Arabidopsis thaliana: one gene and its partners. The protein of the gene in region 3 purifies or fractionates together with the protein of the main gene of each other region. This does not show direct contact. Each region holds a gene or a part of one and is shown on either strand. Other genes may lie near its edges.

Evidence for each region.
Region 1: the proteins of DRM2 (region 3) and HTB9 purify together in Arabidopsis thaliana (affinity purification with mass spectrometry, with the first as the bait; one study listed by BioGRID). This does not show direct contact.
Region 2: the proteins of DRM2 (region 3) and HD2C purify together in Arabidopsis thaliana (affinity purification with mass spectrometry, with the first as the bait; one study listed by BioGRID). This does not show direct contact.
Region 4: the proteins of DRM2 (region 3) and AGO9 purify together in Arabidopsis thaliana (affinity purification with mass spectrometry, with the first as the bait; one study listed by BioGRID). This does not show direct contact.

Annotation. Positions count from the first base shown.
Region 1 is NC_003074.8:16,896,678-16,900,210, forward strand, and holds HTB9 (Histone superfamily protein), read right to left. Parts: upstream 1,337-3,533; 5' UTR 1,268-1,336; coding exon 815-1,267; 3' UTR 610-814; downstream 1-609. Other genes in the region: EXLA1 (expansin-like A1), read left to right, coding at 1-52, 131-512. UniProt on the Arabidopsis thaliana protein: Core component of nucleosome. Nucleosomes wrap and compact DNA into chromatin, limiting DNA accessibility to the cellular machineries which require DNA as a template.
Region 2 is NC_003076.8:979,752-985,346, reverse strand, and holds HD2C (histone deacetylase 2C), read right to left. Parts: upstream 3,489-5,595; 5' UTR 3,354-3,488; coding exon 3,341-3,353; intron 3,009-3,340; coding exon 2,938-3,008; intron 2,861-2,937; coding exon 2,649-2,860; intron 2,536-2,648; coding exon 2,486-2,535; intron 2,373-2,485; coding exon 2,233-2,372; intron 2,020-2,232; coding exon 1,927-2,019; intron 1,791-1,926; coding exon 1,697-1,790; intron 1,598-1,696; coding exon 1,386-1,597; 3' UTR 1,058-1,385; downstream 1-1,057. Other genes in the region: AT5G03750 (E3 ubiquitin-protein ligase), read right to left, coding at 1-23, 103-328, 442-551. UniProt on the Arabidopsis thaliana protein: Probably mediates the deacetylation of lysine residues on the N-terminal part of the core histones (H2A, H2B, H3 and H4).
Region 3 is NC_003076.8:4,714,169-4,720,969, reverse strand, and holds DRM2 (domains rearranged methyltransferase 2), read left to right. Parts: upstream 1-2,265; 5' UTR 2,266-2,391; coding exon 2,392-2,514; intron 2,515-2,592; coding exon 2,593-2,725; intron 2,726-2,800; coding exon 2,801-2,850; intron 2,851-2,947; coding exon 2,948-3,047; intron 3,048-3,125; coding exon 3,126-3,172; intron 3,173-3,247; coding exon 3,248-3,352; intron 3,353-3,479; coding exon 3,480-3,576; intron 3,577-4,111; coding exon 4,112-4,209; intron 4,210-4,295; coding exon 4,296-4,991; intron 4,992-5,109; coding exon 5,110-5,541; 3' UTR 5,542-5,865; downstream 5,866-6,801. Other genes in the region: SK13 (shaggy-like kinase 13), read left to right, coding at 1-120, 224-298, 380-436, 555-695, 809-859, 1,002-1,097, 1,181-1,264, 1,346-1,448 and 1 more; AT5G14610 (DEAD box RNA helicase family protein), read right to left, coding at 6,257-6,377, 6,464-6,801. UniProt on the Arabidopsis thaliana protein: Involved in de novo DNA methylation. Controls asymmetric and CpNpG methylation. Required for FWA gene silencing but not for the maintenance of SUP gene silencing. Functionally redundant to CMT3 to maintain non-CpG methylation.
Region 4 is NC_003076.8:7,190,191-7,198,432, reverse strand, and holds AGO9 (Argonaute family protein), read right to left. Parts: upstream 6,195-8,242; 5' UTR 6,081-6,194; intron 4,964-6,080; 5' UTR 4,962-4,963; coding exon 4,746-4,961; intron 4,643-4,745; coding exon 4,437-4,642; intron 4,335-4,436; coding exon 4,128-4,334; intron 4,045-4,127; coding exon 3,908-4,044; intron 3,819-3,907; coding exon 3,721-3,818; intron 3,656-3,720; coding exon 3,558-3,655; intron 3,484-3,557; coding exon 3,324-3,483; intron 3,237-3,323; coding exon 3,120-3,236; intron 3,034-3,119; coding exon 2,926-3,033; intron 2,832-2,925; coding exon 2,769-2,831; intron 2,694-2,768; coding exon 2,580-2,693; intron 2,486-2,579; coding exon 2,317-2,485; intron 2,225-2,316; coding exon 2,112-2,224; intron 2,005-2,111; coding exon 1,867-2,004; intron 1,762-1,866; coding exon 1,634-1,761; intron 1,501-1,633; coding exon 1,435-1,500; intron 1,356-1,434; coding exon 1,292-1,355; intron 1,179-1,291; coding exon 1,067-1,178; intron 982-1,066; and 9 more. UniProt on the Arabidopsis thaliana protein: Involved in RNA-mediated post-transcriptional gene silencing (PTGS). Main component of the RNA-induced silencing complex (RISC) that binds to a short guide RNA such as a microRNA (miRNA) or small interfering RNA (siRNA).

The DNA of each region.
Region 1 (3,533 bases), on a different chromosome or scaffold from region 3:
GTGCTGACAAAGACCTTCTCAAACAAGGCATTGTCGACATCGAATACCAAAGGTTCGATTCTCAAAACACCTAAACTCTTTGGTTTTCTTAATCACACGATATTAACTTGGTCATCAAAAAAAAAAACAGAGTTCCTTGCGATTACGGCAACAAGAACATGAACGTGAGAGTAGAAGAAGCAAGCAAGAAACCAAACTACTTAGAGATAAAGCTTTTATACCAAGGAGGTCAAACAGAAGTAGTATCCATCGACATTGCTCAAGTCGGTTCATCGCCAAATTGGGGTTACATGACAAGAAGCCACGGAGCTGTTTGGGTAACTGACAAAGTACCCACCGGAGCTATCCAGTTCAGGTTCGTAGTAACCGGTGGATACGACGGTAAAATGATTTGGTCACAGAGTGTTCTTCCATCCAATTGGGAAGCTGGGAAAATTTACGACGCCGGTGTTCAAATCACTGACATTGCTCAAGAAGGTTGTGATCCTTGCGATGCTCACATCTGGAACTAAGTTATTTAGTGGCACACAAACAAACATCTTTCATAGGTTTATATATAATGTGTGACAGAGGTTATTAATGAACATAGTTAAAGAATGCTTAATCTAATGATTCTCATGATTCTACATTGATTAAACAAGAGAACAACATTGAGCCATTAACAACCAGAACTTTTGATTCGAAGACAGATTCATAAGATTACTTTACAACGGAGAATGATAATTAAAGCTTAATAAAACGAAAGAGAAATCCTAACACAAGTTATGACAACATCAGAATCAAATTCAGAGTATACAAACCCTAATTTACTAATTCAAGAGCTTGTGAATTTGGTAACAGCCTTGGTTCCTTCAGAAACAGCGTGTTTAGCGAGCTCACCAGGAAGAACGAGTCTAACAGCAGTCTGAATCTCCCGAGAAGTAATCGTCGGCTTCTTGTTATACCTAGCGAGCTTTGAAGATTCCGATGCCAATTTCTCGAAGATGTCGTTGATGAAACTGTTCATAATACCCATAGCCTTGCTTGAAATACCAATATCTGGATGAACTTGTTTCAGAACCTTGAAGATGTAGATCTTGTAAGTTTCCACACTCTTCTTCTTCATCTTCTTCTTCTTATCGCCGCCGGCCCCGGCTTCCTTCGGGAGTTTCTTGCCGGCTTTTGGTTTCTTCTCCGCCGGAGCTTTCTCGGCTTTTGATTTCTCCTCTACTGGTTTCTCGGCGGCTGGTTTCTTCTCCGCGGGCTTCTTCTCTGCTCTCGGCGCCATTGTTTTGACTTTTGTTTTACTTTTCTGGGTGAAGAAGAAGAAGCACAGATCTGAGTGATTTTGATATCTAATTTGATGAAGACGAGTTTTGATTTTATAGTAGTTAGAATAATTGATATGATTGGTTATTAGATGTTGACGAGGATCGATGAGATGGGAGATCGCAACCGTTGAAATTGTTTTTAATCGACGGTTTATAAACTTATGAAGCGGGATCGATGACGTGTCAATATTGGTTTATGTTTTAGCGCGGTGTTAAAATCTCCGTTCCCGCTCCACTGTATTGTAAATGGGCTTTTATTGGGCTTAAAATTTTAATATCAGCCTGATCCAAAGCAGATCTGATTAATGTGGTCTATACAATTATGAAAAAACTAACTAAACATATCTGTGAAGAAACAGAGTATAGAATATATATACTAGTAGGCTTGCACTAACAGTTTAACACAATATATTTTGCTGTAAAACTGAACCTGATTACAACTTACAAGCTGATTTAAAATGAATTTGTTGACTAATAATATGAGACAGCTAAAATATAAAGAATTTGTTGTATTTGCATAAACAAGAAGTAAAAAAATTGTGCTTGGCTATATTGAGCAATATGTGTTAATACTCCAGTTTATGGTTCAAATTATCTTCAGTGGAGAGTAGTAAAATCTAGAAACTAGCTACATTAGGCTACTATATATGCATGATGTATGACTATTGACTAGAACATATATATTTAATCATGGGAACAATATATAATCCACAACATTGTATATCAATAATTTAGTTTTTTGGTGTGTTTTAGCATGGCATTAAAAGTTAATCCAAATCTTTTTTTCAGGTATTTTAAATGGAATGTTTTTCACATAAATGAAAAACTCTATCTACCTTTTCACATAAGTGAAAACTGAAAACACAATCAACAGCCGCAAAACATCGAAAGGAAAAAATCTTATAAACAACCATAGCATGACCATCACACCCAAAAAATTTAACATAAACATATCTATATCGATTCAAATATCTTTAGTTTGAAAAAATGCGAATTGGAAAAAGAAAAATCAAACCTTGTTAATTGCAAACACAATCATAGTAACTGCAAACGAGACTCTTCGCTAAGCCCTAAATTCAAATTTTCATCTCCATATCCATTTTCTACATTGATGCTAGCTAGATACGCTTTTACGGGCAGTAAAGAAAGATCATTGTAATAATCAGAGCTACAAAGGCTATCATAACTGATAGACATAAATAAATCCCCATAATCCAAACATGGTGGTCACCAAGAACACAAAAGATAAGAAACCAAATAACATAACCATCTCTTGACAAACCTTAGAGTATGAACCAAACATAAAGGCAGATATAAAGCCGCCATGACATAAATACATGCCAACATGCATGCTAAATTACCCATCATAACAAGAAACATTAAAAACAATTGTTCATGAAAAATTTCCGCAAATTTCTGAAAATGAGTTTCTTCGGTATGAGTTTGGAAGTACATCCCGATAGCTTCATCGTTTTAAGAGGGTAGATTAGGAGGTTTTGGAGATGAATGAATAAGATGTTTGTCGAGAAATCAGAAATCGGGAAAGTGATGTAGTGTTACCTTATATCGGACTTTTAAATGATTTAATAACTTTGTTGTTTGTCTTTTGAGATGATATAATCTTAATGAGATTAGCTTCTAATAAATCTTATCATCTACGATGATGTATAACTATAACATGAGTGGTTTGCTTCATTTTAATTTAGTTTTGGTATTGATTATTAATGCTGTGACTTTTTCTCATTTTATCTGGTATTCGATCATCAAATTAACAAATATGAAATAGAAATCAAACTTAGTTAATTGCAAGTATATATATCACTAATTATAAATCCTGCCCGAAACTAAAACGATCGACCTCTAGTTACATCAACACCATAATCCAAATCTCCATCAAACCCCTGCTTCTTCTTCTTCATCTAAGCTTGATGTGTTTTTACTCTCTAGCAAGATTGTTGGATAGTTCTAAGTTATTTGAGGAGAAAGTAATCTCTTTCTAGAAGATGCTAGAAGAGATAGAAAATAGAAAAATACAAATAATGTCAAGTTAGTTAAGATTTATAAGTTTTTCTTTTTATAATAGAATTTGCTAAATTTATATAAATAAGAGGCTATGGAAAGTTGTTCTCTAAGACCTAAGAGATTAGAATAAGAGGTTTAGGAGAGTTTTTCCATAAGACCTAAAGAGAGAGAGAGAGAGAGAGAGAGAGAGATTTAGTTTTG
Region 2 (5,595 bases), 3.7 Mb from region 3:
TGCAAGATGAGTTCACGGGTGGACTCATCATACGATGCAAAAAGTTGTGTCATTTCCTCGCCAAAGTCTAATCGCCGTTCTTGGCAAACTGATGGCATCTACTATAGCTTGTGTGGATGACTGTTTCTGAGAATAAGAACCATCACCTCTTCTCTTGAGACAAACATGAAATCCATCTACAATATGAACCGAATTGCTTGTTACGTCAGCCAACGAAACCAAAGGTCCTCTGTTTTGACGCATGTCAAATACTAAAACCATTCCATTCTGTAGTCCAGCATAAACATTGTGATAGTTGTTGAGATCCCAAGAACAAGACAAGGTGCAGCTGGTAGACGAACAACGCCACCGTTGGTCCAAACTTCCATACAGATCGAACATAATGATTCTTTATCCTCCTGCAATCCTGAAGACGATGATGAACAAACACTTTCTGATGACCTTCTTTGATACTCACTCTCGTTCTGTGAAACCCTAGGTGAGTCTACCACATCGATGTATTGGCTAATTTGGCGTTCTTCTTCCTCATCAGGTTCATCGAATACTTCCATTGTTATTCCGACATTACCACAGACGAAACGCCGTAGTCGCTGCATTAAGGCAAAACCCAAAACTTAGCTTCTTACAAAACAGAGCAATCTGTATATAAAGAGCAAAGCAGCTTAAAAAGTAAGCTCGATTAAAAGAAAACTAATACTTGCGTTTCCTTTTTTTCTTCAACATGAAAACCGCAAAAAAGGAAACTCTACATGAAAACCAATTAGTATTATGATTCTTGGTGTGATTTGGTTAATTCACAATCAGAGAAATACGAAGCGGAAGTTGGAAACCTTTGGAAGACAGCAAAAGTGGAAGGAACACAACAAGTTTATTAATTTTAACAAAATAGAGGGGAAATGCAGGCTGTGGGGTTCGAACCCACGCGCACTTATGTGCAGAAGAACTTAAGTCTTCCCCCTTAACCACTCGGGCAAACCTGCTTGTTATTATTTTTCTCTTCCTATTATATTTATATACGCAAACTGGTGTAGTAGCTGCATATTAACCACAAGCCCTAAAAATCCTTAATTTCGGGTCCATTAGATTATGTTACAAAGTGACATGCTAACTAATCTTCAATCAATGTATGTTTTGGACAGAGAATTTCAAATGTAGATTTTCACTAGAAAAGTCTACAAAAAGACTTAATATCCATACCACTAAACACAAACAAAGGTTTAGCACAGTTTCAGCTACCAAAACGATAAAGTTAAACAGGAAGAAATGCCTGAAAAAAAAGACCAACTAAAACTGGCTCACTCGCAAGTTCCAGATTTAAGTACCAAAAGACATCAAAGTTCTAGAGTAGATATTATAGAGAGTAGTCATCATGCTGCTTCTTCTTCTCAAGCAGCTGCACTGTGTTTGGCCTTTGTGTGAGACTGCAATCCCATTTCCGAAGTAAAGGTTCTGGTGCACGACTTGCACCCAAACGCTCCTGCAGACTTCGGTGTCTGCTGCTGCTTCGATGTCTCTCCAGTGCTGCCTCCACCAGAATTCTTACCCGCCTGTTTTGAGGGATGAGGAGTTGCAACATGGACATGCGGTTTCTTCGAATCTGCTTTGTCCGAATGTTTTTTAATTAAACAAATCAATCTTCCTTTCTATCGTTAAAATAAGTATTCAATGGGGAGATTGGTAAAAAGGATTTAATCACCTGTTTTCTGAGGAGTTACAAACTTAGCCTTCTTGTTGGACGCAGGGTTCTTGGAGGAGTTGGGTTCTGCAGACCTCTTCTTGGGTTCTTCAGGCTTTTATAAACCAAGAAAACTTAGAATCAGATTCGAGCTTGACCACAGAAGCAGAGAAATTGCTCCCAAAGGAAGATAAGATAGAACAAATATAGGTTTCCCATCAACAAGCACATAAAAGAGACTGTCATGTTACCTTCTTTGGGGTTTCCTCTTCTGAGGAGTCATCTTCTTCGTCGTCTGATGAGTCATCTTCCTCACTGTCAGATTCAGCAGTAACCTTCTCTTCCTGAAACAAAGCAGCCATGATAAGGATTAAAGAAATGTGAGAATGGGCTAAAACACAATAGGTAATCAAGGGTTCATGTGAAAATGCAAATATAGAAGTTACAAACATACTTAAGATAACTCTAGTACCACTGTCTATAGGTTTAATCAACATGTCACTGAGCCTAAGTAAAATTCTATAACAAATTGAGCTAGTATATATAGATAAAAGTACCTCCTCGTCTCCAGAGTTTTCACTATCATCATCATCTGAAGAATCTTCTTCACTACCGTCAGCGTCATCATCTTGCTTGGCTTTGACATCTTCATTTGGCAACTGAAAGTTCACCTGTTTCGCAGCAGATTTCGGAGCAGCTGGCTCAACCAAGGCCAAATAAATTTATAAGAGATTGATGTTCTTAAATAAACTAAAATAAGACAACTGGAGACAAATCATTGCAGGACTGGATATAAAAGTCCCCATTTACCTTTGAAACCAGCAGCCTCAAGTTGATCATCAATCAAATCCTCAGGCTCGGTGAGATAGAGTCAAGGAAGTCAAAAACAGAGTAAAGCAACAAGTCCCCAAAACATTTTCATCAACAAAGCTTAAAGCGATAACAACAAAAATGTTCAAATAGTAAAGGATATGGATCAGATGCATCAACTTTGTAACCAGAGAAGAAAACGCTCCCATTCTTCCAAGTATGAGACAGCGCAAAGTTCCTTTCCAAGACAATCTCCGTAGACAGCTGAGGAAACTTCTCATGAGATAGCGTTCCAATGAGAAGCTTATCCGATCCAACAGTCACGTAAAGCTGGATTGGTTCGGTTACATTGTTCTTACTCTCTCCCAAAGCAACCTTCAACAAAAATAAACCAAACGTCACTGTAAAATACATTCTTATAAATCAAATTAAGCTTGCAAATTCAAAAGTACCTGAGAGATGTGCACGAGCCTGTCTAGCCCAGGATCTAGGTGAAGTGGTTTGCCATTCTTAACTTCAACACCTGCAAACGCATAGAAAGCATACAAATCAGTAATTCTGCAACAAAATCCCCAAATGAAACCTCTATCGGAGTTAAAACCTAGCGAGAGAGAAAACTTTTCAGTTTTCCCCAATTTTCTACGAAGACGAACAGTCCATACCCTAGATTGTCACATATACTCACTATTCCCGTTTCTCGTTTAGCTAAACAGAAGATTCCATAGAAAAAACAGTAGAAAAACATGGCAAAACGAAAAAAAGCGATGAAACCAGAAGCTAAAAAAAAACTAAATGCAGGAAATGAAGCGCAGAGAACGAAGAAGAAGAAGGAGTAAGATAGGAGATGTTTTTTACCCCAGAACTCCATTGTTGTGCGAGGTAGTGTGATCTTGAAGGCGACGATGCGTCGAAGGAGAAGGAGAAGGTTCTAGAAGAAGCTGAGAGCGATTCGTCTCTCGAGAGCGGTTTTAGGGCGTGTTGATGTGAGAAGGCTAAAATGTCCGCTGGAATTTATTAATCGGAGGAAGGGATTTTAGGGATCCTCTGTTACGCGGTCCACTCGAATATCTCCTTTAGTTGGGCCATGATTTTAAAATTAGCCCAACAAAACTAACGTTTCAAGCCCATACTTTATTTTGACGGCTTTTTTTAACGGTGTCAGGACGGATCGTAACGGACTTTTAACACTTTATTTGACTGACGGAGTTTTCGTCAACATGTGGGGTCTATATATTCATGTCTTCATGACAATATCTATCTCCATTCCTCAAAATAAGTCCCACGGATAAATTGAGCATAATGTATCGCAAAGTTTTAATTTTTTTCTAATCCAAAGAAAAACCAGTTAACAAAATCTGTGAAGAGTTTATATGATAAAACTAAGTACGGTCCCCGACTACGAATAATTAAAATTATTAAATGGATAGTTGCACGAGTGAGAATTAAGGAACACTATTATTATATTAAACACAATTCATTTTAGTTAGATCTATTCGGGGCCTCTCGTGTTTAGATTTAGAAGAGTTCTCGGCATGAATCATGAACATTTTCCAATGCTCTTAAATTTATAGTTTACCAATATTATACTCCGGTTTTACATATCACACATAATTTCGATTTTTTTCAACATATGTGATCATAATCAATTGTTAAGTTTTAATTTATGCGCATAAAAAAATATATGTTTGTATAGTAGTTAAGGAGAATTTTTTTTTGTTATGTTTTAGCACTTTTTGGATTAATACTAGTTTTAAAAGTATGATTTTTTTTTTATTTTTTTTTGTGCACAAATATGATCAAACCCAAAAGTTTCTTTACATAGTAGCAACTTTATATTCTCAGCAGCCATGGCTAAAAAACGTAAGTTAATGACAAAAATGCGTTGAGTGCAATGAACCTGGCAGTATTCGATGAACCTTAGCGGATCAAATGATATAAATATGCAATAGAATTTAAATATTTATTTATTGTCCAAGCTGCGTGGATAGCTTGATAGATAAATTAATGACAGCACATTGACTACCCAAGCTGCGTTGATAAGTACTTGATCAAAATCTTTACATTTTTATGAAGTACTATAATCCAAAGTTAACTTTTAAGCAAAAGATAATTTTTTGTAATGGTTGTGAAAAATTCACTTATAATAACACGAAACATAATGAAGTATTATTAGTTCATTTATATATAATACACAAAAAACATAAAGGCAATAAAAATAACCAAATTAAAAAAAAATGGAGAAGTAGAAAAGAAAACGAAAAAAAAAAAAAAAGAGAGAGATAAGATGCATGCATGGTATAGAAGTCGCAGGCCGAAGACCAGAAATACGAATGTGTTTGAATAGACAAATTAAGGAATATAAAGACAGAAGAGCCCATCCATTTTCGCATACACGAATACATCCCCCTCGACTCCAATTATTTTATTATAGTCCATTCTCTCACTTTCTATTCTAAATATTGTGGACGTTATAAAGGCTTTTTATTTATTTTATGTCGAGTTTTTTAGACTACGTAGAGCCGAATGAAAATTTCATGTTTAGGTATACGAAACTTGGATCCAATGTTACGGATTCAGATTGGTGTAAAAGATCAAATTTGATAGTATTTGGATTTGATAGGCAAGATGGTTTAGTATTTTACACTGTGTATGTTCCTCTTTTAGCTTTGCGTTTTCTACTTTCACTACGATACTACTTTTTATCTTCCAATTTCAGTTGCTTATCACCAAAATATGAAATACCAAATTAATTGTTTAAACAGTTTTATTAGCGATTAAATTAGCACAAAACATATGAATAGATATCATAGTCGAATACAAAAATTAGACAAATAATAATACACTAAAAAACAAACTAAATTGGAGAATTGTTTTGACAAAAAATAAAAAAAATGTCAAAGTTCCATAAAAAGGAGGACAAAAGAGGAATATAACGAAATTATCAACAGAAACGCACCGAGTAAGTTTATTTCCTATGATAACGCAAAAACAAAAAAAAAATCCAATTCCATTAGAGAGAGAGAGAGAGAGAGAGAGAGAGAGAGACTTTTTTAAAAAGTACAAAAAAAAAATGAAAAACTAGAGAGAGAAACAAGTGGCTAGCTAGCTCG
Region 3 (6,801 bases):
GAGCTCTATCTCAATCTGGTCCTTGAATACGTTCCTGAGACTGTCTATCGCGTCTCAAAGCACTATAGTCGGGCAAACCAGAGGATGCCCATTATATATGTTAAACTCTATACTTATCAGGTAGTTATTATTCAGCCCACCAGAACATCTGTTCTCATCTTTTGAAATACAATGAGTTAATCAACATTGTTTCCATGATTTCTTCCTTCTGTTGTGGGTGCAGATTTGCAGAGCTTTGGCTTATATTCATGGTGGAGTAGGAGTCTGCCACAGAGACATAAAACCACAGAATCTTCTGGTTCGTATCCTTAGTTGATTTTATTCATAACATTTTATTGGTCTACATGCTTCTGCTTGATCAATCTTGTGCTTCTCGTAGGTTAATCCTCATACGCATCAGGTCAAACTATGCGATTTTGGTAGCGCAAAAGTTCTGGTATAGCATTTGTAAAGAGACATGTTGATTTGTTTTCATATTGAAAAGTTTGCACTTTTTATGGTGCTATGCAATGTTAACTAGTCCTAACTATTTTAGCTTTGCCCCTCTGTAACAGGTTAAAGGCGAGCCAAACATCTCATACATCTGCTCCCGTTACTATCGAGCACCTGAACTTATATTTGGAGCTACAGAATATACAACAACAATTGACATATGGTCTGCAGGCTGTGTTCTTGCTGAATTGCTTCTGGGACAGGTAATATGACTGTCCAAACTTTCCTCCATTTATCTTTTACAAATGATTTGATTTACCGAATGATGTCTAAAGTTATATATTACCAATCTTTGGCTTGTCCAACTTTTGGTTAGCCTCTATTTCCAGGTGAGAGTGGAGTTGACCAGCTAGTTGAGATAATAAAGGTACTTCAATTTGGTTAAACAAACACACATAATCCTAGCCATTGCTATATTGAACATAGAGTGGATCATTGATTATATGGAATGAAGAGGCTCCATTTCCTGCTATTGATTGCCATCATTTTGTTTACTGTGTGTGTTACAGGTTCTTGGAACACCAACACGGGAGGAAATCAAATGCATGAATCCAAACTACACAGAATTCAAATTCCCGCAAATAAAGGCTCATCCTTGGCACAAAGTAAGCAAACACATCATCAGTTTTTCCTTAACATTGATCTCCATATATTCTTACGATTGAAAAATCTGTTGTTGGTTCTTAAGATATTCCATAAGCGTACACCTCCAGAAGCTGTAGACCTTGTCTCAAGACTTCTCCAGTATTCTCCAAACCTCAGATCAACCGCTGTAAGTCAATGAAGTGATTACCATAATAACATTATGTTTGATATATCTGGTTGGTTGATTCAAACTTACTTGTTATTGTAGATGGAGGCGATAGTTCACCCGTTCTTCGATGAGCTACGTGATCCCAATACACGTCTTCCTAATGGTCGTGCCTTGCCTCCTCTCTTCAACTTTAAACCTCAAGGTCTGTCTCCTCCAAATATGCTTTTGTTTGTTTCCCAATGCTCCGTTTTAACAAAGACTAAAAGTGTGTGCTTCTTGTTAAATATGTAGAGCTAAAAGGAGCAAGTTTAGAGTTGTTGTCCAAGCTTATACCTGACCACGCCCGAAAACAATGTTCCTTCCTCGCTCTCTAAATCTCTTCCTCTCTCTCTATATATATGTGTGTGTGTGTGTATGTACACATGCATATAATATGCTTATCGTTTCTAAGTAATGGAGATAGCTTCTCAGGATTATCATTAGCTTTCATCTTTCATGTATCTTTGTTGTTTATTGTCTTATCACAACCTTTGTACTTTATTACATACAATGATTAGTGTAATGTATGTGACGGTCTTTGACTCGCCGGTCGCTACAGTTATGTTGGATACTAAATTATAAAATAAACTTCTCGCTCGTCACGTGTCATTGCATGCATCCAAAGCTCATGCTTCAAAGCTTAGCCAAACTTATTTTTAAAAAAGCCTATGTTCTGTGTAAAAGTGTCATTTACGAGAGTTTCTTGTTTAAGTTTAACCAATTTCACTTCCTCAAACGAAATACGGTAATTGGTAATATCCTCTAAACATGAATTATCATTGACTATAAAAATTAGTTTCGCAAATTGCCTCTAAGCACCACAAGTGTCACGTAACGTGTCATTTATTCATGTTTATTGATTTAGTTAATTAAAAACATTGTAGTTTAATTATTGAAGTAGTACAAAGAATAGGGACTAAATTGCAATACTCTGAATTTGTTTTTTTCTTTTTTAGAATCATCCGACTTTTTGTTTCACGGTTTCCTCCTCCAGTAAACTGACGACGATACAAGCTCTCTCACCAACGGCGACAGTATCTTTGCCGGCGGCGGGAGCGCTTCTGCTTAATCTGTAGCTCAAACTAAAAATTCTCTGGGTATTACTCATGGTGATTTGGAATAACGATGATGATGATTTTTTGGAGATTGATAACTTTCAATCTTCTCCACGGTCATCTCCAATACATGCAATGCAGTGTAGGGTCGAAAATCTAGCTGGTGTAGCCGTGGTAAGTGATCCAATCCAACAGTCATAAGTTTATGCCTAAGCAGAATCATTGCTTATGTGAATTTTTGTTTTGTTTCAGACAACTAGTTCTTTGAGCTCTCCTACTGAGACAACTGATTTAGTTCAGATGGGCTTCTCAGACGAGGTTTTTGCTACATTGTTTGACATGGGATTTCCTGTTGAGATGATTTCTAGAGCGATCAAGGAAACTGGTGAGGCTTTTTTCTCTTGTTTGTATTCCTTTCTGGATATATATGATCCGTAACTTGATACCAATAATTATACAGGACCAAATGTAGAAACTTCGGTTATAATTGATACTATCTCCAAATACTCAGTGAGTTTCTAATACTTTGATCTCTTGGGTTGCTTGTCATTTACATGTGCTTCTGTCATCACAGTATTCATATCCTCTCCTTTGTTTATTTGTGAAGAGCGACTGTGAAGCTGGTTCTTCCAAGTCCAAGGCTATTGATCATTTCCTTGCTATGGGATTTGATGAAGAAAAAGTTGTCAAAGCCATTCAAGAACATGGTACTTACAGATTTCTCTCCTCCTTAAGTAAGAAGTAACACTTTATCACTTTGCTGATATTTGCTTTATAAATCGCAGGAGAAGACAATATGGAAGCAATTGCAAATGCATTGCTCTCTTGTCCAGTAAGCGATGTTACGAAAATATACTGTCTCTTGACATTAAAAAAATAGTACTTAAAGTTCGTTGATGGTTTGTAGGAGGCTAAGAAACTGCCAGCAGCAGTAGAGGAAGAAGATGGCATTGACTGGTCATCAAGTGATGATGATACCAATTACACCGATATGTTAAACTCAGATGATGAGGTATAACTCTTTCATGTTGGTGATAACATATTTAAGCATCCCAGGTTTGAATTGTAAATGTATCTCACTGCTATTTTGTATATGTATCTAATTTTATGCGTTCTTAATCTATTTTAAATCATGACAGAAAGATCCAAACTCAAATGAAAATGGCAGCAAAATACGGTCTTTGGTGAAGATGGGTTTCTCAGAGCTTGAAGCTTCTTTAGCTGTCGAGAGATGTGGTAACTTTATTTTAAACGATTGCCATTGTCATTAAATTTTAGTTCCGTTTTGTTCAGGTTTCTTCTAGACAACGTCGTATAAATTGCTTGGTTTAGCCTCTGATTTAGTGGTGTAGGCCTTAGATGTGTTTGCTGAGCATTTTGATTGTATTTCACTAATCGAAAGTTGTCATTAGTTCTGTCTTAGCTTCTGGTTCTGTGATGTACGCCTTAGATATGTTTGTAGAGAATGTGATCGTATTTCACAAAATGATAAAAGTTGTCAGTACTTGATAAAATTGTATGTTCACTAGTTCCTTTTTATTCAGGTTTCTTCTAGAGGAAGTGGCATAAGCCAAATTGCTTAGTTTTAGTGTAATGTGATAGTCAAATTGTGGCTTTAGCCTCTGGTTCTGTGATTTAGGCTTGAAATGTGTTTGCTGAGCATTGTGATTGTATTTCACTAAATGATACAGTTGTCAGATGTTAATATATATCTCTTACTTACTCTAAGTATGTTGCTGCCTTATCCAGACTCATATGATTGTAATTTCAGGAGAAAATGTGGATATTGCAGAGCTCACAGACTTCCTTTGTGCTGCTCAAATGGCTAGGGAATTTAGTGAGTTTTACACTGAACATGAAGAACAAAAGGTACTGTTAAAACCTTTTTTATAATCTATCTTTTGTAAGTTAATTCCTTTGGGAACTGATTATTTTGGGAAATTTGGTGTATGCAGCCTAGACATAATATTAAGAAAAGGCGGTTTGAGTCAAAAGGAGAGCCAAGATCATCTGTTGATGACGAGCCGATTCGTCTACCAAATCCAATGATAGGATTTGGGGTTCCAAACGAGCCCGGACTCATTACACATAGATCGCTTCCAGAGTTAGCCCGAGGGCCACCTTTTTTCTACTATGAGAATGTCGCCCTCACACCTAAAGGCGTTTGGGAGACTATTTCCAGGCACTTGTTCGAGATCCCACCTGAGTTTGTGGACTCAAAATATTTCTGTGTTGCAGCGAGGAAGAGAGGCTACATCCACAATCTCCCCATCAACAACAGATTTCAGATTCAGCCTCCACCAAAATACACCATCCATGATGCATTTCCTTTGAGTAAGAGATGGTGGCCAGAATGGGATAAAAGGACCAAGCTTAATTGCATTTTGACTTGTACAGGTAGTGCTCAGTTGACTAACAGGATTCGTGTAGCCCTTGAGCCTTACAATGAAGAACCAGAACCGCCTAAGCATGTACAAAGATATGTGATTGACCAGTGCAAAAAATGGAATTTGGTTTGGGTGGGTAAAAACAAAGCTGCCCCACTCGAGCCAGATGAGATGGAGAGTATTCTGGGATTTCCAAAAAATCATACTCGTGGTGGAGGCATGAGTAGAACTGAGCGCTTCAAGTCCTTAGGAAATTCGTTTCAGGTAATTTTACATATCATATGCGTAATAATACTCTTTGTAGTTAAAGTCTTTTGCGTATTTGATTCATTGGTGGGTGGCTTGAATACCTTGGTTTAATGGTTGGTTGAACTTGTTTTAGGTTGATACTGTGGCGTATCATCTGTCTGTCCTGAAGCCCATTTTCCCACATGGAATCAATGTTCTCTCTCTTTTCACGGGTATTGGTGGTGGGGAAGTGGCACTTCATCGTCTCCAAATCAAAATGAAGCTTGTTGTGTCTGTTGAGATTTCAAAAGTCAACAGAAATATTTTGAAGGACTTTTGGGAGCAAACTAACCAGACTGGAGAATTGATCGAGTTTTCAGACATCCAACACTTGACTAATGACACAATCGAAGGGTTGATGGAGAAATATGGTGGATTTGATCTTGTAATTGGAGGAAGTCCTTGTAACAATCTGGCAGGCGGTAATAGGGTAAGCCGAGTTGGTCTTGAAGGTGATCAATCTTCGTTGTTCTTTGAGTATTGCCGTATTCTAGAGGTGGTACGTGCGAGGATGAGAGGATCTTGATCATTCACATTACCTGAAGTAGATTGAAGTAGATATGACTCCATGAAATCTAGTTGAACTTTATTTTTCTATATCTGTTATGTAATATGGCCATGAAGGTACATTTTTGAATAATATAAGTCAACCTAACTCTCTTTTGCTTTTTGCGACAATATATCTGCAACTGCATTTGCACTTTTCTCTTCCCTGCCTTAACACTGATGTTCAGTAATGTATTCAACCAGACAAATGTGTCATCATATAATCTTTGATCCTTCCTTCATGCGAAGGGTTAATGGAGAAATATGTTTGGGGTATTTGTATAGACACTTTGGTTAAGGAGTCAATTAAGAGTAGTCAGTGACTTGTAAGCTGAAACTGCAGTACTTTTTTTTTGATATACTGATATTGCAGTTCTTAATAACGAAACAAACTTGTTTACTTCAAAATATCAAAAAGTCATTCCTATTTAGAGGTCTAAAACATTTATCAGCTGAGAAACATCCACTACTTAAACACCAACACAGAAAGAACCCATAAACGAGTCTTTATTTTCCATAATATAAACAGAAAAAGGTTTCTCGTAGACCAAAACATTAGAGTATCCTTCAGGTGTGTATGATTTTAAAAAGTACTAGCAGCTTCGGTCCACACACCACAAAATGAATAATTTACCCCAAGAGAAAGAGGCTCTTCTATATGTATATTGCCCCAATCTGGTTTAGATTCCAATGACTTATCTATTTTTCATCATCATCGCCTCATGAAAGCTGCGAGGCGGAGATGAAGTGGACGGTGGACCTCCTCTGAATCTCTCAGGACTACGGCTTCTCTCTCTTCCCCATCCTGAGCTGCCACTGCTTCAACCACCAAAAACCGATTTAAAGTTAATAATGAGAAAAAGAATCAAGAGATCTAGCTGAGTCGTTTATCTTTAATTTACCTGTCACGTGAAGGAGCCCAGCTTCCTCTACCACCAGAATCACCACGACCACCATAACCAGAATCACCACGACTACCATAGCCAGACTCACCACGACCACCATAACCAGAATCACCATAGCCACCACGGCCGCCACCACCACCACTGGAAGGTGTACCCCAGCGACGAAATTTGTTCATTCCACCACCACCACGTGTAGCCATTTCGCGGACCTGTGGAGGAACTTTCTGGTTTGCTCCTTCCAAGATCTTGATCAGATCTGAAGCATGTTTTGCATCTTGGTCTCCAAAGAAGGTGTAAGCTAGACCGGTTGCTCCAGCTCTTCCAGTTCTTCCAAT
Region 4 (8,242 bases), 2.5 Mb from region 3:
GTAGTTCATCGATATGTTCCAAATCTAACTATATGATGCAAATCACACTGCCTATATGTAATTCAGCCACAACATCAGATCGACGTTAAAAAAAGAAGAGAACTCAATGCCTTAAAATACCAAATCTGATTAAGCATAATAAAGTATCAACCAACAGCGCCCACAAAAACCGACAGAATATAAAGAGTATCTCCTCAATGTTAAAGGGTCGACGAAAAACAAAAGAGGAACCAAACCCAGAGAAGAGTAAACAAAAGTTCGTTGGTTCTCCATCAAAAGCATATAAACTCAGCTATCGTGTGGACTGGACCATGTTCCATCAACAGAAGAACATGGAGGTTGAAACATTATTGTGCAGCTGCGGCATAGGTGGCACAGGGACTGCTCCAGGTGTGGTGATTCCTCCATGGCTCGAAGAAGTCTCAGACAACTCTTCATACTTCATCACAGTTCCCATCTGTGCAGCTGCCAAATGAGCGTAACATACAGGTGCAACTGCAAACAAACATAAAGAAACTTGAGAATTGAGATATTGCACATAATGTTGTAGCTATCAGCAGCAACGCATAAAAGATGTGAGACTAACCGACTGAGATCGCAGTGGTGCTCCTCTGGTAGCTACAAGAATCAAAGCAAACAATTTGAAGATTATTGTCAAAAGTGATATAATTCCACAAAGATACCTATCAGATTAAGAGTTAAAAGTGATATAATTCTTACACATAGGACAGAGAATGCACAAGTTCTTGGAGGTCGTCTGTGGCAAACCCAATCTCGTCATACAGAACATGGTAATGTGTTGGCCTTGTAGTTCCCTAACACATCCAAAATCAATATAGAAAACTGTTAAGTTGGATTTATATAGTAACTAAGTGGTCAAAGTATTTCTGCAGGAGCTATAACTTACAATCATGCCAGCATGGGCGCAGAGATAGAAATCAAAGTTGCGTGGGTGACAGATCTGGCTGTCAATGATTGTTCCTGCAGGCAAAAGCCAGGTTTCAGGTCATTTTAAACACAAAATAATGACCAACAGAAAATCATGCATTTGTCAAATGGATTTTACCTGGAGGAACATTATCAGGGCCTCGAGACTGGAAGAACTTTGTGTGGTGGTTCTTCTGGGCAACTATCACTGTAAACTTCGGATGCCACGTATCATCAAGAAACTTGCATGCCTAATAAAGTAACAAAAAAAGAGATCAGGCAGGCCCAAAGATATCCAAGATATACTAAATAAAACGTCTTTGTGTCACTAAAAGCTCTGAAGCTCTAGAACTATAATCCATACCTGCATCATCTGATCCAATTCAATATTAAGAACTTGATTGAACTGAGACTCGCTTACACCATCCCTACATGTATATTAGTAACAGTGAGTTAACAAATTGGAGTATATTATTTTACATGATACCTTAATAGATTTAAGTATACCTGAAAATAATGATGTGCTCTGGTTTCCTATTCTCTGAACTGTAGTAAAAGTCTAACAAGAGTTCCCTGTAAACAGTAGGAAATCTCTAATTACACTGATGCTGACATACCTTTTTGTACAAGTATAAAAGAATATTGTACCATTCACAAGGCCCTAAAATAGAATTAAGATGACAAAAACGCTGCCTATGAATTTTACCTGAACATTCCTTCGTCTTTGCCATTGACGGGTTTGAAGAGATTATCAATCATTTCCATTTTGCGTGATTGTGTGCGTACACATGCCTTATATTTTGAGATGAGTGGCCATTGTCTTGAGCTCACAACCTACGATTTCCAACAAACACCAAGTTACCAGAGTTGTTGCCAAGAATGAACACACAACACTAAATGAGATCACACGAAAAATTAACAAAACAAAATCAGTATTACAGCAGCAATTGATGGTATATCAGACTGGCCAGGGGAACCATGGGATACATCCATCCCAACAATGATGGTAGGAACTTGCGTTACTTTTGGCATTGCTGGTGAGCGCTCCATAGCTAACAACGAATTCAATCCACCAAGCTACATATACGAATTATAAATCATTTCAGCTGTAAGCTTGTAAGCTTGTAAAGTCTTTACAATCAGTCTTGAAATTCGAATTGAATGAATTTACAACCTCCAGCTACCTTGGCATTTATCTTCAGGAGAACATTGGTGAGATACTGATCGTTCAGTCTGGTGGGAGCAATGCACTGAGTCACAATTCCAAGATCAACAAGATTCTTTTTTTTCCAAGGGCCTAAAAAATTTCAGACACATGAAAAGTTAAACATTTACATTCAAGGGGGAAAACAGGCCATATTCAAGAATGTAAAGTGTGATGTGATGTACCATAAACATCAGAGTTTTTCCTTTCAGCGAGTATGCAAAGAAGGAACAGAGGCGGCTTTGGGAGTTTGGATTTTATCTGCTCAAACATATTCTCTACTCTCACAGTAGCTGGTGCATTCCTAAACTGAGGATTCTCGTTGATGACATCCTTGAATGGAGGCTCTACATTCTGGGATAAAAGGGAAAAACAAAAGGGACGAATTAAAAGGAGTTGTGCATATGATTCGTTTGTATAGTAACCAATGAACCTAAAGAAGGCTTACAATTCCTTTCTCCCGTCCACATTTAATCAAGTCACGAATAAGTGTATTTGTATCACAGCGAGCAGAGAAGTTCACAACAGCCCATCTAGTAACCGTCGTTGGCTCAGCGAGTGTCTGCATTAGAATTCAATCAGTACTAGTCGAGGTTACAATATTCAAACTAGGGCAAAAGATAGAAAATCTAAGCACCTTACGCATAAAGTTCCATTTTCCTTTGATTGGGGAAAGGTTTTCTCCCTTGCCCACTTTCAGCTGTAAACAAGGACAAAGATAATCAACAATAAAACATCCACAAGCAAAAAGGAAAAAATACAGCAAGGAAAGCAAGAGAATCAACGAAAGTCACCATTGGTGTTGGTAAGATACGGCCTTCAACTTGGGTAAAATTGGTGATAATGCTAACACCACTATCTTGCAATACCGGGTCGGCATTGTAATTGCTGTCCTTCAGACCCTGCAAGATAAATCAGAACATAAAACATAAGAAACAGAAAAAGCGTCAAGGATAATGGGAAGAAGAACTATGGAAACAAGAACTACTTTGGTTAGCGAGGCCATCCTTTCAGGTGGCTTCTGCCTAGACTTTTCAACTAGGGCAGCCCTCTGAAAATTGGTAAGCGATTTTGTGTATCGCTGTAGAGACACAAGATTACAGAACTGCAAACATGAAAACCAAAACGATTGTCATAATCCGTTACAAAAAAATATGTGGAAAACAGAAAAACAACAATTCATTTTATTTACCTCAATGGGGAAGTAAGTGGGACGCTTCGGCTTACCAACATTGATGCAAGGGAAGTCACCTGAATAACGCACTTCAATGTTACGCTCTTTATAGTAATTGAGCACTGTGATCTCAACCTCCTCAAATTCTCCCTTGTCGTTAGGTTTCCTCCATGTAAATCTATCAATCAAAGACCAATATCTTAGAATAAACTCAAAAGCATATAAACTTGTGATCAAAGAAATTTGACATACAGTTGATCTTTGCAGCTGTGTTCACTTAGTCCACTTATCTTGTATTCTCTATTGGAAAGAGTAATTTGAACTCTCAGATTCTTGAGGACACGTCGAGCCTGATGAGATAAAATCAGATAAAATACATCAGTGAAATAGTACAACATAAAAGAAAATGATGTACCTTGTTCCAGTCCATTCCGTATGGATCTTTCTTGTTCTGGTTAGCAAGCAGGAAATCAACTACAGGTCCAGGTTGTACTATCATCGTAGTTGAAGTGTCTGAAGAAATGCCAAAGCAAAAAAATCAAAGTTTAGCAGCCGAATGTCAAGGAAGAATCTAATACACATTAGATCTGGAAAAGAATTACCAATATTCAGGGATAAGCCTCCCTGAGTAGTTCTGAAACTTGAATGGAACCCTCTGCAACCACTGACACCTCCACCAATAGGTACAAAGTTCTTTACGTCATTGTGGAAAAAGGACTGGCGAACAAGGAGGCAACCTCTGCGAACAGATATGAGAACATGACATTAAAGATCAAGCAGAGAATTTATTTGAAATACAAATACCCAGAATATTTAACTTACTGCCTAGCTGCACTCTGGCGCAAAATAATATCCAGCACTCTCAGAGCGTCTTGAAGATTCTCTGTCTCCTTCCCTTGAAGAGCGCTTGCAATAGCCTGCATGGGGATCTTTGCAGCATAACTTATCTCAACCATGAATTTCTTAGTTTGGTTGGGACGCCTTGATCTTTTTCTATCAGCATCATTTGTATCATTTCCAGCGTGATTTCTGCAGATAAAGAGGATATCAAAGCATATTAGACTTTGAAGAAAAGGAAACAGTCGAGAAATTTCACAGGGAAAAAAAAATCAAAAGAAGTCATAATCACACCTGCTAGAAGGTATTTCTTCAAGAACAACAGAGAAGTCAAGTTTGTTGCTGGGAAGAGCACCAACAGTGAAGAGAGTCTTCTCGCCATCATAAGCAAAGTATTTGGCACCCAAATCACTTTGATAGGTCTCCTGAACTTTGTCAAGAATCTTTCGGCCGATACCTTTAGCCTCCACTGGACGGCCATCTTCATAATTGATAGCAACCTGTAGCAAATTTTAAAGAAACAAATCCATCATGTATCATAGAGATAAAACAGGAAACGCACTGATACAAATAGAGGATTATTAGAGGTCACAGTATACATACACTGTAATGAAAGAAGTAACCGCTTGGTTTGTTGAACTTGACTCCAAAGTGATTAGTAAGAAGAGGAATCTTCTGTCCTTTGGAGCCGCTGCCTCGAGGCCGAGCCATTGGGAGAAGAATGTTCTTTTTTACAGGCTCCACTTCAGGGACAAGATTTGCTGGAACGAAAGGTGGTGGAGGTGGTAATCCACTCCCATTCGGTTCATCAGAATCCATCTCTGGGATACAAATATCAGAAGGTCAGAAAAGAACAGCACCAAAATATAATCTGTTTAAAGCAATGGGAAAGCATAAACGCTACAAAGAAACCATTGTTGAAGCCAGATTTATCACAAATTTTTAGTATGAAAATAATTCTGACCCGAAAATCTAAGCCAGTAGAGCTGAGAACTATTAAATCACAGGACAAAGCAAACGTCACATAGAAAAACTCATGGAGTCAGGTGTCATCTTGATAAAAGCAAAGCGATCTTCACACAGTTACTTAAAACCATTAAATCACAGCATATAAAACATGATTCAGGAACAAACAGAAAGATGGCATAAACAAAAGCATTCACGCAAAAACACTGATCAACCCACACTTGAACAAGTACTAGAGATGAAATCTACAGATCTAAAGAACAGATTCGTCACCATCACAAACTAGACTCAGATTACTCAAAAGCAAACAAAATCATTCGCGTCATGCTTCAAAGCCGCATAAGGAAGATCTATGACAGAAAAAAAAAATGGTGAAGAAGAGATGTACGTGACATGATCATATATGACAAAAAAAAAATGGTCACCTAAAAAGCGAGAGGGAGAGAGAGAGAGAGAGATCTGTTGGATAAAGCGAATAAAAAAATGAAGGTAGAGACAAAGAACACAAAGCAGCAAAAGAAACCCAGAAGATTTTTCTCGGGAAAATGCAAACAAATTTTTTAGTAAAAAACACACGCCAACATTTATTTTTCCAGATTTCTTAACAGAGGTCAAAGAGAAGACCAAAAAAACAAAAAATCCAGAGTAGAAAAATAAACAGCGATTACTCAGAGGAAGAAGAAGACGAAAATCATGTAACAACGAACGCAGCTTCAAAGAGAAAAAAAACAGTGAGATTCAACATAAACAAACACTACCATGACCAAAAAATCCAGAGAAACTCATGAAACAACAAAAATCACTTGTTTAACACCAAACGACGACGACGAAAAATACAGATGAACACTAACAGCGCAGAAATCGCTAAAAAAAAGAGAAAAAAACCACCAAAATCGACGAAATGAACAGGAATCATGCATGAAAGCTTCAAAATCGAACATACATTGAACGATTTTTGAGTAAAAAACAAACCTAGTACTTATAGAAGAGACGAACGAGAAAAACCCTAAACAGAGCAGCGAGCGAGAGAGAAGAAGAGAGAGAGGGATTATGAGAGGAAGAAGAAAGGGTTTGTTTGTTTTGGTGATTCACTAAAATATAGGTGTGTCGCTTATAAAGAAAGCCGCAGACGCAAGACGCAAGAGGTTTTATAGGTAGGTCCCACTGTTTTCTTTCTTTTCTTAATTATTTTTTCGCTCCATATTCCTTTCTTTTCGTTTCAATGTCTTATCAATTTACTTCTCTCGTTACGTTTTTTTTATTATTGTTAGAGAATTTAGAAACAATTTGGATTTGGACAAAATAATGTTAGGTGATTCGATGTTATATGGAATCTTAAGAGTATATATAGAATCAAATCGTTTACAAGTAAATAGTATATGGAATTTCATTGTTTGGTGGATTACTAGTGCAAATATTCAGGTACTTAAACCGGTTATTCATCTTATTTGTTATGATCTGGTTCAAGTTAACACATCTATAAATTAGAATCTTGCAACAGTGAATGAGTTGTTGAATATACTAGTAACAAAAAAGCTCTTCTTCTCCACTTACTGTTTTCTACCTTTGGGATCATCTTTTTCTTCACCATTCCTATTTATGTCGTTCTTTATCAATTTTGGTGCTAAAGATGTTGTTCTTTATTATAGTATTAAATGACTGGTATATCTTTCTCCTCTTCCAGATAATTTTTTGTTCGAATTCTAACAGTTTTACAAAAACATTAGCGGAATTACTCTATGGTATAATATAGATTTGGAGGTAATAACTCTCTTAAATGAGTACCAGAACCATTGTGGATGATATCAGTTAAAACTTGAAAGTGTTAGTTTCATTTATGAATATCTTTAAGCCATGATGCATCGATGTGGCTACATGACCCAAGTCTATAAAACTGTATAACACATGCTATATGTTACAATAAACGAACTATGATATGCAATGATTATTAATTCTTGAATCAGATCCATATATTCAAATACACAAAAAGAGCTATATGAACAAATTAGTAACATGATATACTACTTAATTACGTACCTATCTTTGTATTAAGAGCAAATGTATATATCCTTTTTTTGCAACATATATGTATTACAAGTGTTCCAATAAACAATTGTGATTGTGGCAAAATGGTTTCACACATATATTATTATTAGGCATGCAGTGACAATCCTATATACATGGAAGTGAAAATGAAGAAAAATCGCAAGTTTAACGTCTTCAAATATCAACAACTTTGAAAAGAACTAAAGTATACTATAGGTTAAAAGAACTAATCACATTTTCACAATTGATAGATATAAATATCTCAGTTTGACCGTTTGACTAATTTTTTTTTTGTCATCACCTCAAATTTGATCACTGGTTTGAATTTTGAAATTAGTTATTGAAAAAGTGAAAAGATTACAAAACTATTTACCACAAAAGATAAAAGAAAACTGGTTGTACGTAATGTCTCTGTGTCCTGCAAATACCAAACGTATAAAAACAAAATAGTAAATGCTGCAGTTGTGTAGCATGAAATAACGAGGGCGAGTTTCTGAGATGTGCAGTGGATGTTTTTGTCATCTTGTATCCTTTTCTATTCCTATTCCTATGTTATTCTCTCGCTCCTTTAAATGTTTTGCAGGTCGTCGTTTTCATGTATATAATATTAACTTCTGCTTTTTCTCTTTTATTTTCTTTTTAAAATAACGTTATTATCCGTTTATAAAAGTTTCTTTACTCTTTATATACTCCTATTTCAACTCACTAGTCACAAAGACTACACCAAATTGTTCGTTATAAATTGAGTCAGTTGACAAAGCGGTCTAATTTGTCTGCGGTTTACTCCTTCTCATTTTTGGGGCAGATAATAAACCTCTGCGAACCAAGTTTATTTGTATGTAAAAACGGTCCGCAAATGATCCGCTGCGGTTTTCTTCTATTTTTTTTTGTCCCGACCACTGCGGACTATAATTGATGAATGGTAAATAAAAAGTGGTCTGATCCATTGACGATTGTGTCCGCCCCAACTGCCGTAACTATTCACACCCTATTTACCAAAAATATCTAAAAGTTGTTGTATGATTAGATTGGTCCTTTTAACTATGGTATTCTTCATAAACGAGACAATACACATCTTACTGTTAAAA